2 linked regions of the Macaca fascicularis genome follow. The protein of the gene in region 1 purifies or fractionates together with the protein of each later gene. This does not show direct contact. Links are inferred from orthologs where the notes say so. Each region holds a gene or a part of one and is shown in the gene's direction. Other genes may lie near its edges.

Region 1 (5,872 bases):
TCTGTCAGGGAGGGTTAGGTATCTTCCCCTGAAGACAAGATTGTGTCTCCGAGGGACAGGACCTATAGTGGGAGGTCCCAGGTGGACTCTAGTACTGAAGGAGAAGGGGGTTTGGGTAGACGGGTGGGCAGGACGTGGCTCTGGCTGATTTACCTGTCTACCCTTTCCTGGCATTTGATGCCTGCTGACCCCAGGCCAGGCAGTAAGCAGGGAGGCACCTGGGTCCAAGCTAGCTCTGCCACTGTTTGCTTTGAGCCTCGGTGAGTCACTGTCTTCTGAGCCTCAGTTCCCTGTTCCTGGAATGAGGATACCAGTTTTTAGGATATGATCAGAGTCAAAGACATCAGATTGCACTCAGGAGATAGTCCTCTCAGCCACTATCTGGGCCCTCCTCAGGTCCTGGCATAGGAGGAAAATCCTAGGGAAATGGAAAACCTCAGAGGTGGGTCTGTAAGAAATACCAGAGTCCTCTCCTGAATGGTGACAGTTTGCAGATTGTATCCCCTCATCTCTTTTCCCACCCCAGGTACAGCAGCAAGAACCCACAGTTCCGCCCTTAACCCCTTCCTGGGGATCCCTGCCCTGCTGCCTGCCTGTGTATCTGCCAGGTGTCAGACCCATTGTCTGCCCTAGGTATTGTCAGTCTGCTTGGGGCTCGTTGCCTCTCCTGCTGTCTCTGTTTGCTGCCTTCCTGTGTCTGTGGTTGGGTTCCAATCTCTCTCGCCACTTGATAAGTGCCTGACTTCACCTGTTGGGCACGTGTCACATGTTAGGTGCCTGTTGTTCATGTCCCCTTCTGTCTCTGCCTGTTGGGTTTATGTCTTCATCTGTCTCTGCCTATTGGATACATGTCCCCTTCTGTCTCTGCCTATTGGATACCTGTCCCCTTCTGTCTCTGCCTGTTGGGTTTATGTCCCCTTCTGTCATTGCCTGTTGGGTTCGTGTCACCATCTGTCTCTGCCTGTTGGATACATGTCCCCCTCTGTCATTGCCTGTTGAGGTTTTTTTTTTTTTTTTCCCAAGGCAGTCTCGCTCTGTTGTCCAGGCTGGAGTGCACTGACGCGATCTTGGCTCACTGCAACCTCTGCCTCCCGGGTTCACGCCATTCTCCAGCCTCATCCTCCCAAGTAGCTGAGACTACAGGCGCCTGCCACCACGCCTAGCTAATTTTTGTATTTTTAGTAGAGACAGGGTTTCACCATGTAGGCCAGGATGATCTCGATCTCCTGACCTCGTGATCCACCTGCCTTGGCCTCCCAAAGTGCTGGGATTACAGGCGTGAGCCACCGTGCCCAGCCTGCCTGTTGGGTTTATGTCCCCTTCTGTCATTGCCTGTTGGGTTGGAATTCTCTTCTGTCCCTGCCTATTGGAGATGTGTTCCTTCTGCCTTTGCCTGTTGGGTTCATGTCCTCATCTGTCTTTACCTATTGGGTACATGTCCCCTTCTGTCTCTGCCTGTTGGGCTTGTGCCCCATCTGTCTCTGCCTGTTGGGTTTGTATCCTTATCTGCCTACACACATTGGGGATGAGTCTCTGTCCACCTCTGTCTGTTAGATATGAGTCCCCTCCTGCTTCCCCTTATTGGGTACACATCTCCATCTGTTTTCTATTGGATATGAATTCCTCCTGCCTCTGCCTGTTGGGTGCGTGTCCTTATCCATCCCTGCCTGTTGGGTATGTGTTCTCTCCTGCCTCTGCCTGTTGGGTGTGTGTCCTTATCCATCCCTGCCTGTTGGGTATGTGTTCTCTCCTGCTCCTGCCTGTTGGATGCCATTCTTCTTTTTTTTTTTTGAGACAGAGTCTCGCTCTGTTGCCCAGGCTGGAGTGCAGTGGCATGATCTCGGCTCACTGCAAGCTCCACCTCCCGAGTTCACACCATTCTCCTGCCTCAGCCTCCCGAGTAGCTGGGACTACAGGCGCCCGCCACCACACCCAGCTAATTTTTTGTATTTTTAGTAGAGACGGGGTTTCATTGTGTTAGCCAGGATGGTCTCGATCTCCTGACCTCATGATCTGCCTGCCTCGGCCTCCCAGAGTGCTAGGATTACAGACATGATGGATGCCATTCTCATCTGTTTCCACCTGTTGGGTGCCTGCTTCTGCCTGTTGAGTGTCTCTCTTCATCTGCCTCCACATATGAGGCACCTGTCTTTGCCTGTTGGTTACCTGTTTGCTGTTGGGTACCTCTCTGCTGTTGGGTACCTGTCTGCTCAGCAGCTGCACTGGCAGAGGGCTTTCCCTTTGCAGACCCACAGGGAGGATGGGGGAATGGCCAGAGGGCAGCCCTCAGGCACTGAGGAGTGGGGGAGAGAGAGGAAGGGAACGTGGTGAGGGTGTAGGCCTGGTGCTGGGAAACCACAGGCCCTGAGTGATTGGCTCCCTTGGGCCGGGCCCAGCCCCCGCCCTCACCCTGCACATCCGCCTTGGTCCCGGCCACCACCGCGGCAGCCCCGGACTCTGCCTGCTCCTGCCATGGTGCCGTGGCCCTGCTGGGCGGATGGAGCAGGATCCCAAGCCGCCCCGTCTGCGGCTCTGGGCCCTGCTCCCCTGGCTGCCCAGGAAGCAGCGGCCCAGGATCAGCCAGACCTCTCTGCCTGTCCCTGGCCCTGGCTCTGGCCCCCAGCGGGACTCGGTGAGTGTACCCAGATGTCTGGTCCTGGCCTGGCTGTGTCCCTCGCAGCAGGTGCCTGGGAAGCCAGCTTAGCGTAATCTGGCTTTGGGCTGTCCTGGCCCAGGCCTGGCCCTGCGGGGTGACTGGACCCTGCCCAGACTTGCTTCCTGGGTAAGTGAGGAGGTACTTCAGGGCTTCAAGGCAATGGCAGCAGATTAGAGGGAGGGTAGAGTCCTGGAATGGCTAGGACGTGGCAAGGGGCTTCTAGTAGGTTTGTATGAAGGAAGTTTGGGAAGATGAGCCATGCAGTCTCTGGCCTTAATTCTGACCTGCCCCAGGCTAGCACTTACCAAGTTGATGGGGGAGTTTGGGTGACTCTTGGGTCTTTGTGCACGTCAGCCCTGTCCTACTGACCAGAGGGATCCCCTCATCCCATCCTGACCAGGAACGAAGGCCCAGCTCTACCTCCCCATATGAGAACAAACCTACTTCCTATTGTGGCAACCCTAAAGCAGCAGGGGGAGGGAAGCCCCACAGGCAGACCTGGGGCAGGTCTCTGGGTCTCAACCGGAGCCTGAGGTTGACTCAGCCTGGCCATGCCTGGGCATCCCTTTGGGCCTAATCAGGCCAGAGCATCGGGAGCAATAGGAGTGGTGCCTCTTCTGTTTGACCTCCCCAGCCTTTGAGGCCCTTTTGAAATCAATGACCTTGGAGGCTGGCCCTTCAGGGAAGTCGTCTATTGGGCCTTTAGGTCTCATCTGCTGAGGTCTGGTGGGAATGGCCTTGGGCAGGGGAACTCCTGCTGCCCGGATGGGGCCCACCATGCCCACCAGCTCTGTCCCTCCATCAGGATGAGGGCGTCCTCAAGGAGATCTCCATCACGCACCACGTCAAGGCTGGCTCTGAGAAGGCTGATCCATCCCATTTCGAGCTCCTCAAGGTTCTGGGCCAGGGATCGTTTGGCAAAGTGAGTCATGAGCCCGTGGCTGTGAAGGCAACCCTCGTCATGTTAGAGGTGGGGGTCAATGGTCACCTAGGGGCCCAAAGGATCAGAGGTCACCTTGGTACCCAGGGAGAACAAAAAGACCAGCTTGGGGCTCAGAGAAGATGGAGGTCAGCCTGGGCGCAGACCTCTCCCATCTTCTGCCCTTGCTTCCCTCTCTGCCTTCTCAGGTCTTCCTGGTACGGAAAGTCACCCGGCCTGACAGTGGGCACCTGTATGCTATGAAGGTGCTGAAGAAGGCGACGCTGAAAGGTGAGTAGGGACACCTCCCTGTGCAGAACCCAGGCTGGGCTGAGGGAGGCAGCCCAGACTTCAGGGGCCTTGGGTCTGGCAAGGGAGACGGCTCTGTCTTCAGGAGCACCTAGTTCAAAGGTGGAGAAACAGGCCTATTTCTCAGCCATCTCTCCCCACCCAGTCCCCCTCCCCCTAAGCCAAGTGCCAATGACTGGCTGTGAAGGTCTGGAAGGTGGTAACAGCGTAAATGTAATATGTTTGTCAGAGGGCAGGGCCCTCAGCTACTTAGCTGGTTAAGCAGAGGCGTTCTGACTGTTGATGCTAGCAGAGTCTGAGGGAGACCTCTGTGGCCCCTAACTCAGGGGCCTGAGAGAAGGGTGTGAGTGAAGAGGCAGGGAGCCCAGGGAGGCAGCTGGGCCAGGCGAGAGAGGGTGAGTCCAGGCAGGGCCACAGAGCTGGATGGCAGAGAGGTTCAGAAGGGAACCCTGGGCCAAGATTAGAGTTCTGGGGACTTACAAAGGATATGAGATGGTTGGTAGTGGGTTTTGGGTTGAACACTGACCCCGTGGCCTGGGAGCCCGTGTGACCACTGACCTGGCGGAGTTGCAGCCAGGTGCCCTTCCTTGACCAAGTCTCCCTTTAAATAAAAGTCACGGCCGGGCGCGGGGGCTCACACCTGTAATCCCAGCACTGTGGGAGGCCAAGGCGGGTGGATCATTTGAGGTCAGGAGTTCAAGACCTGGCCAACATGTTGATACCCTGTCTCTACTAAAAGTACAAAGAAATGAGCTGGGTGTGGTGGTGCGCCCCTGTAATCCCAGTCAGAGCCAAGTCCTAGCTGGGGAGGTCGTGGGGGCAGTAGGAGGCGTCAGCCTTAAGGATGTTATGGGTGGCTTTGGTCTCCTAAGGCCAGCCTGGTGGGGGTGGGAGTCATCCCCCAGGAGGTATGGTGGCAGCTTCAGAGGGAGGAGAAAGTTGAAAAGCCTGGGTTCCTGCTGTGAAGGGCTTGCAGGCTGGGCCGGAGAGGCTAAGCATACCCGACAGTGCGGTGCAGCCGGTGCTGAGACTGGTGTGCGTGGATATCCGACGGGCTGGGGAGCTGGGAGTGGTGGTGCAGCCTTGCAGAGGGTGGGACCAGAGGCCAAGGGGACACCTAAGGAGCGGTAAGCCTTGAAGGACGAGTGGATTTCTCCAGACCAAAAATGGTCGAGGAAGAGACCCTGGGAAGGAGAAACTGTTTGCCTGACCTAAAGTACAGAGGTGGTTTGAAAATGTAAGGTAGGCTGGGCGCCATGGCTCATACCTGTAATCCTAGCACTTTGGAAGGCTGAGGCGAGTGGATCACTTGAGGTCAGGAGTTCGAGACCAGTCTGGCCAACATGGGAAAACCCCATCTCTACTAAAATACAAAAATTAGCTGGGTTTGCTGGTTTGCACCTGTAGTCCCAGCTACTCAGGAGGTTGAGGCACAAGAATCGCTTGAACCCAGGAGGTGGAGGTTGCAGCGAGTAAAGATCGCGGCACCATACTCCAGCCTAGGCGATGAGAGCAAAACTCCATCTCAAAAAAAAAAAACAAAGGAAAAAGAAAATGTAAGGTGACCAAAATAGTTAACTCTGGTGTGGTCCCTGTCGTGTCTAGTGAGGAAAATACAAAAATTAAAATAGAGGAAGGGGCCCACTGATGTGAAAAGTGCTCTGAAGGGAACCAGCTCTGTAGCCCTGTGTGCTGACACAGAAGGCGTGTTGGAAGGCAGCTGCAGCTTCTACTTGTAGCAAGGGCCGAGGATTGTGTCCCGAACAAGACTCTGGAAAGACGTGCAGGAGGAGCACATTGGCCAGATCTCCTAAGATAAGCAACTGTGAGCATCAATTCTAGAATGGCAGTGACGATTGAATAGAATTCATACTAGATGGATGGACTAGTGAAGGCTTTGGGACTATGAGGCTGGAGAGGAAACTGCCGATCCAGTACATGGACCAAAAAAGCCTTTAGTTTTGCACTGTGTGTATTGCTCAGACATT
Region 2 (5,713 bases), on another chromosome or scaffold:
ACACAATGAGACAGGGGTCTGAGCTAAAGTTTCCCCTCACCGGTTCTCTGGGCTCCTTGTCTCTCCATGGCTTTCCCTGACCATGCGGGCCACCTCAGGAAAGCCAGCTTCTTCAGCGAGCTGAGCCGCATCCCTGCCACCCAGCTCACAGACCCCCACCCAGGCAGCCCCACGGCCCAGGAGATAGCTCACAGCTGCCCCCTGGCCCGCTCGAGCAGCGCACATCAGTGGGGTCCACCAGAAGGCATCCCGAGCATTGATATTCCCCCCAGCTCCTCCTGCCTCATGGGGCTCCAGCAGTCTCCTAAGTTCTGCCAGGTCCCCCTCCTGGGCTGCCCTCAGTATCCGGTGAGTCATCTTATCCTCAGCCTCAAGGGATCTCCCTTGTCCATATCTTCCTGATACTCCTTCTGCCACTGCTTCTGCTGCAGCTGCCCCCATGATTCTTCTTTTCTTTCTCTTTCTTTCTCTGGCAGGTTCAGTCTGAGATCTTTGGGAGTCAGGAACGCAGCTCTCATCCCCAATAAGGGCCTCATAGAAAGCTCGGGCTGCAGCTCCATCCAGGGTGGACTCTGGCTCCTCGGGCTGTGGCTGCTGCTGCCCATCCTTCCAGAGGTCGCTGGGGTCAGTGGCTGGGGTGAAGGTGATGAGGAAGGGCTGGGACATGGCTTTTGGGAGAACTGAGAAAATGATACCAGGCAAGGGAAGGATGCGACAAGCAAGCCAAGCTCCTGGTGACTCTGTAGCAACCAGAGCCTCAGGGACCTGCTGGGATGAGAAAAAGTAGTCAAAAACACTTTCCTGCCGCTAAAGTGACCCCACAACTTAAGACTCTGCAGGGTCTAAGGGAGAGAGTATATGCGTAAAAACACGAAACCCTACAATACCGACTTTGCTCCTTAGTAAAGATTAATCAAACTCCATGAGACAGTCGTCCAGAGGTCCTGCGTCCGGCCCCCACCCCCATCCTTACCAACAATAAATACCAGCCTCTTTCTGAAATCACTTTCTCACCCCGTAAAACAGACATACCAGTAGGAAAAAAAAAAATCAAACCTGGCCCTTTAAGTCTTCCGTGATCCCATTTCGGAGTTTCCTCTTCCCAAACAAAAATAGACGGGTCACTCCCTAGAAGATCTCGGGGAGAGGCTCCTATACGTGTTGCCGTGTAGCTTCCGTAACGCAAAATGGCGCTATTCTGATCAGCAGAGTTGACACAATCAAATAGCCACACGGCACGGAGACGCATGCGTGGCGACAACAACAACAAAAACCACCACCCACATTACTTGATGGCTCAGGCGTGCGCAAAGCTCCCGGTTCAGTTTCCCGCGCTGGAACTTTTCCAATAGTAAACGAGCAAAGCTCCGCGCGCCCAGGTGGCGCGAGCGCTAGGATCTGTCGGTTGGGGTCCTACTTTTACATAACGCCCCCACAATGCCCTTCGCCTTCCTCTACGTGGCCCCCGCTCCAAGCCCATTTTCTGGAGCTAGGAATCCACTCTCTGGGTTAGGAAAGGCCCTCAGGAGGCGGAGGGAAACCTGTGGAATGCCGAGAAGCCGTGTAATGAAATAACGTCACGCCTGCCCCTCACCATTACTCTGACCAGGGTTCGAAGGTCACACTTAGAGACTAAGGGGAAATGGAGAAGTGCAAGGGGACGAGCAGAATGGCTGGCACCACCTCAGGTTAGCGCACTGGGCCGTTCTGGTTCTCACCCAGCCCAGCCCAGCCCAGCCCAGCCCAGCCCAGCCCAGCCCAGCCCAGCCCTCCCAACCCAAGTCCCTACGCACGGAGCCAAGCCGCACCTCTCGCCTCATGAGGCCGGAGCCCGGAGTAAAACAGAAGGCCCGTCAAGGGTCTCTGGCGGGACTGACTCGCACTAGGGGCCCAACAGGCAATAAGGACCCAGCGCATTGGCCAAGGATAGGCCAGTCCCCAGGGAAGCAGCACCGCGTCGGGACTAGAGGGCAACTGTGAGGAGAGCTGCGAGGAGGGGTCCAGCCTGGCTCCCTCCTTTCCCCGCCCTAAGTCAGCTTCTTCGCCCAGTGAGCACACAACTGTATTGCCCAGGCTCCCAGGCCCCGAACGCCATACCTGGTTTCCGCTTCCGGTGGCTTCTCGTTGCGCCCCGCCCGCAAGCGTCCTCCTCCGGGGCTTCGTGACAGCCAGGTCGTGCGCGGGTCATCCTGGGATTGGTAGTTCGCTTTCCCTCACTTAGCCGGTTTCTCTCTCTACCGGGGACTCCGCGTCCCGGCATCCACCGCGGCACCTGACCCTTGGCGCTTGCGTGTTGCCCTCTTCCCCACCCTCCCCAATTTCCACTCCCCCCACCCCACTTCGCCTGCCGCGGTCGGGTCCGCGGCCTGCGCTGTAGCGGTCGCCGCCGTTCCTTCGAAGTAGCAACTTCCCTACCCCACCCCAGTCCTGGTCCCCGTCCAGCTGGTGAGTCTGAGGTCTTCGCTGCTCCTAGTCGCTTGTCGCTGGGAGCCGCACATGGGTCTCCGCACTTTGATATGGGGGCGGGGGGAGGAAGCAACCAGGTCCGGCAAGGAGGGAGAGGTGGCTTGAGGAGCGGAGGGGGGATGTGTGGAATCCGGTGAAAGGGACCTGACAGTCGCCCCCAACCCTTGAGAAAAGGAGGCGCCCGATTCTTGCTTGAGAGTGATAAACTTGGAAATCCTTGGGAAAGGCGCCGGGGTCGTGCAGAGACTTGCATTGGTACGGAGCCTGAGTCGAGGTCCCTGCCGGAGTTGACACAGAGAAGAGAGGGCCCTGGCTTTCGGGAGCTCCAGGGACGTGGGTCGGGCTGGTGGGTCAAAGTATCTGTTGGCTTCTTTCAAGTGGTGGGACCCCAAAGAATGTTTAACGTCAAAGAAAAGGGAACTGAGATGTAAATTGGAGGAGTTGGAGAGGAGTGCTTCAGAGTTTGGGATCCTTTAAGAAAGGGTGGTTCTAATGTGGGAGGAGGGAGGATACCCGAGGCAGGGAAGGAGAACTTGAGCTTTACTGACACTCTTTTTTTCAGCTGACGTGAAGATGAGCAGCTCAGAGGAGGTGTCCTGGATTTCCTGGTTCTGTGGGCTCCGTGGCAATGAATTCTTCTGTGAAGTGAGTTCTCTTCGACCTCCCTACTTGCTGGCTTCACATATCTTCCCACCAGATGTTCCTTCACGTATTCCACTTCTACACTGTTCTCTTACATACTACTTGAAAACTTCCCATCAACGAAGAGTCCCCTCAATAACCCCCGACGAACCTGTGCTAAAGTGGCAAAACTGGGGCCCAAGTTTCGACTCTGCCACCCTCCAGCAGGCAATTTGTGTCTTTTTCTTTATCTTTTTTTTGAGACTGGGTCTCACTGTGTCGCCCAGGCTGGAGTGTAGTGGTGCGATCTCGGCTCACTGCGACCTCTGCCCCCCAGGTTCAAGCGATTCTCCTGCTCCAGCCACCCAAGTAGCTGGGATTACAAGTACCCGCCACCACGCCCGGCTAATTTTTGGATTTTTAGTAGAGACAGGGTTTCACCATGTTGGCCAGGCTGGTCTCAAACTCCAGACCTCAGGTGATCTGCCCGCCTCAGCCTCCCAAAGTGCTGGGATTACAGGCATAAGCCATTGCGCCCAGCCTGTATCTTTTATTACTAAAGTTGTACTGCTAGTACCTGTCTCAGCTGGCTGTTAGGAAAATTGAAATGCTACGTATTGAAATGTTTTGTTCAGAAACCATGCCGTTCAGCTTCCATCCTCCTCAGCCAGCTGAGAGGACAAAACTGGTTCCTAGAGATGGAGTACAGGAGTAGGGACAGAGATCTTGAAAAGAATGTCTAAGAAAAAGATTGCTGTACCTGCTTATCCTTAGAAAAGAAAAGCCAAAGCTTTATGGGAGGGAGTATAGGTGAACTAGGGAGAGACGCAAGTACTTCTGCTGAGTTGGGAGTGAGAAACAAGCGGAACAGATGCAGTTGTGTTGATGATAAGGCATCAGTTAGAGCATTTTGCCCAGGTCAAAGATGGGGATTTTGATATGGGTTCCCTCTTGGCTTCCATGTCCCAACAGGTGGATGAAGACTACATCCAGGACAAATTTAATCTTACTGGACTCAATGAGCAGGTTCCTCACTATCGACAAGCTCTAGACATGATCTTGGACCTGGAGCCTGGTGAGGCACCCTCAGGGTTGTTTTGTGTGTGTGCATGCACTTTTTTTCTCTTCAAATCTATATTCACTTACTTGAATTTTGAAATTTCCTTTGGTTCTCTGATTTCTTTAACCCCAAATTCATGCTTTATTTTGATCCTCCACCTGACTGTGTCTAGTTTTGTGACGTATATCACTTGTTCCCATGTTTTCTAAATCCACAATTCAGATGTTTTCCAAAATATGTTTCCTCATGGGTCTGGTTTGCTATTTCTCCTGCTTTGCACCTTCCAGTCTAGAGTTTCATCTTTTGCATTGACATTGTTGCAGTTATGTATCGGGGAGGGAGCTGGGAGGGAGAGTGGGGAGCGGAGGCTAAAGAGGTGTGAAGAGAAGACAGAGCTGTCTTGGGTTGGCGCAAGGGTCAGAAGCCCAGGTTTCTGGGTCACATGCCCAGATGTTGGATGGGGTAAGGCCCAAAAGTAGGTGCCAGGCGAACTGAATAGCCCGCACCCCCTGGATATGGGCAGGGCACCTAGGAAAGCTGAAAAACAAGTGGTTGCATTTGGCCGGGCTGTGTTTCAGATGAAGAACTGGAAGACAACCCCAACCAGAGTGACCTGATTGAGCAGGCTGCCGAGATGCTTTATGGATTGATCCACGCCCGCTACATCCTTACCAACCGTGGCATTGCCCAGATGGTGAGGCCTCTCTGCTCCTAATTGCCTCCTTCTGAGCAGTAAGGGACACAGGTTCCTGCAGCAAGAAGTCATGTTTAAGCCTTGTTTAAGGAAACTGGCTGAGAAGAGGAGAAGAACCCCAGGCTTGGGCCTGGGAATTGAATTCTGATTGGGGGTCATCCTGAAGGGATAATTTTCAGGGAGGGAGACAGTCCTTGAACAGAGAGTTGTGATAGACTGCCTCTTCCTCAGGGAACAAACAACAAATGGCTCTGATGGTTTGTAGCCTGCCTAACTGGAAGAAAGGCAACATAGGAGTTTGAGAGCCCATCTGGGCCAGAGAAGGGGCCTCTGGACAGAGGTGGGAGGAGTGGGGGACAGAGTGATATGGGTTGAGCTGAGAAGGGAGTTGCCTCTTCTCTTCACACCTACCTGCCAACCCCTTCCATTTTATTCACTTCAGTTGGAAAAGTACCAGCAGGGAGACTTTGGTTACTGTCCTCGTGTGTACTGTGAGAACCAGCCAATGCTTCCCATCGGTGAGTGTTGAAGAAGGGAAAGGAAGGCACCTTGTGGCAGTCTTACGGGAAGGAGTTAGGGCTCAGCATCTTGGGGCCTGAGTCCTGAGGGGAGGTTAAGTAGGAACAGGGAGATACCTGGCCTGCTGAGTCTGGCTGTCTCCCAGGCCTTTCAGACATCCCAGGTGAAGCCATGGTGAAGCTCTACTGCCCCAAGTGCATGGATGTGTACACACCCAAGTCATCGAGACACCATCACACGGATGGCGCCTACTTTGGCACTGGTTTCCCTCACATGCTCTTCATGGTGCATCCCGAGTACCGGCCCAAGAGACCCGCCAACCAGTTTGTGCCCAGGTAGGGAGCAGGGAGAGT

What was found. The genes of interacting proteins can lie anywhere in the genome.
Region 2: the proteins of RPS6KA1 (region 1) and CSNK2B purify together in Homo sapiens (affinity purification with mass spectrometry; 4 studies listed by BioGRID and IntAct, with this or other methods). This does not show direct contact. The link is inferred for Macaca fascicularis from reciprocal best matches to the Homo sapiens genes RPS6KA1 and CSNK2B.

Annotation. Positions count from the first base shown.
Region 1 is NC_088375.1:208,567,340-208,573,211, reverse strand, and holds the start of RPS6KA1 (ribosomal protein S6 kinase alpha-1), read left to right. Parts: upstream 1-2,452; 5' UTR 2,453-2,497; coding exon 2,498-2,632; intron 2,633-3,461; coding exon 3,462-3,578; intron 3,579-3,784; coding exon 3,785-3,866; intron 3,867-5,872. UniProt on the Homo sapiens protein: Serine/threonine-protein kinase that acts downstream of ERK (MAPK1/ERK2 and MAPK3/ERK1) signaling and mediates mitogenic and stress-induced activation of the transcription factors CREB1, ETV1/ER81 and NR4A1/NUR77, regulates translation through RPS6 and EIF4B phosphorylation, and mediates cellular proliferation, survival, and differentiation by modulating mTOR signaling and repressing pro-apoptotic function of BAD and DAPK1.
Region 2 is NC_088378.1:140,053,550-140,059,262, reverse strand, and holds the start of CSNK2B (casein kinase II subunit beta), read left to right. Parts: upstream 1-2,342; 5' UTR 2,343-2,445; intron 2,446-3,028; 5' UTR 3,029-3,039; coding exon 3,040-3,111; intron 3,112-4,059; coding exon 4,060-4,162; intron 4,163-4,725; coding exon 4,726-4,841; intron 4,842-5,283; coding exon 5,284-5,359; intron 5,360-5,505; coding exon 5,506-5,695; intron 5,696-5,713. Other genes in the region: GPANK1 (G patch domain and ankyrin repeat-containing protein 1), read right to left, coding at 41-666. UniProt on the Homo sapiens protein: Regulatory subunit of casein kinase II/CK2.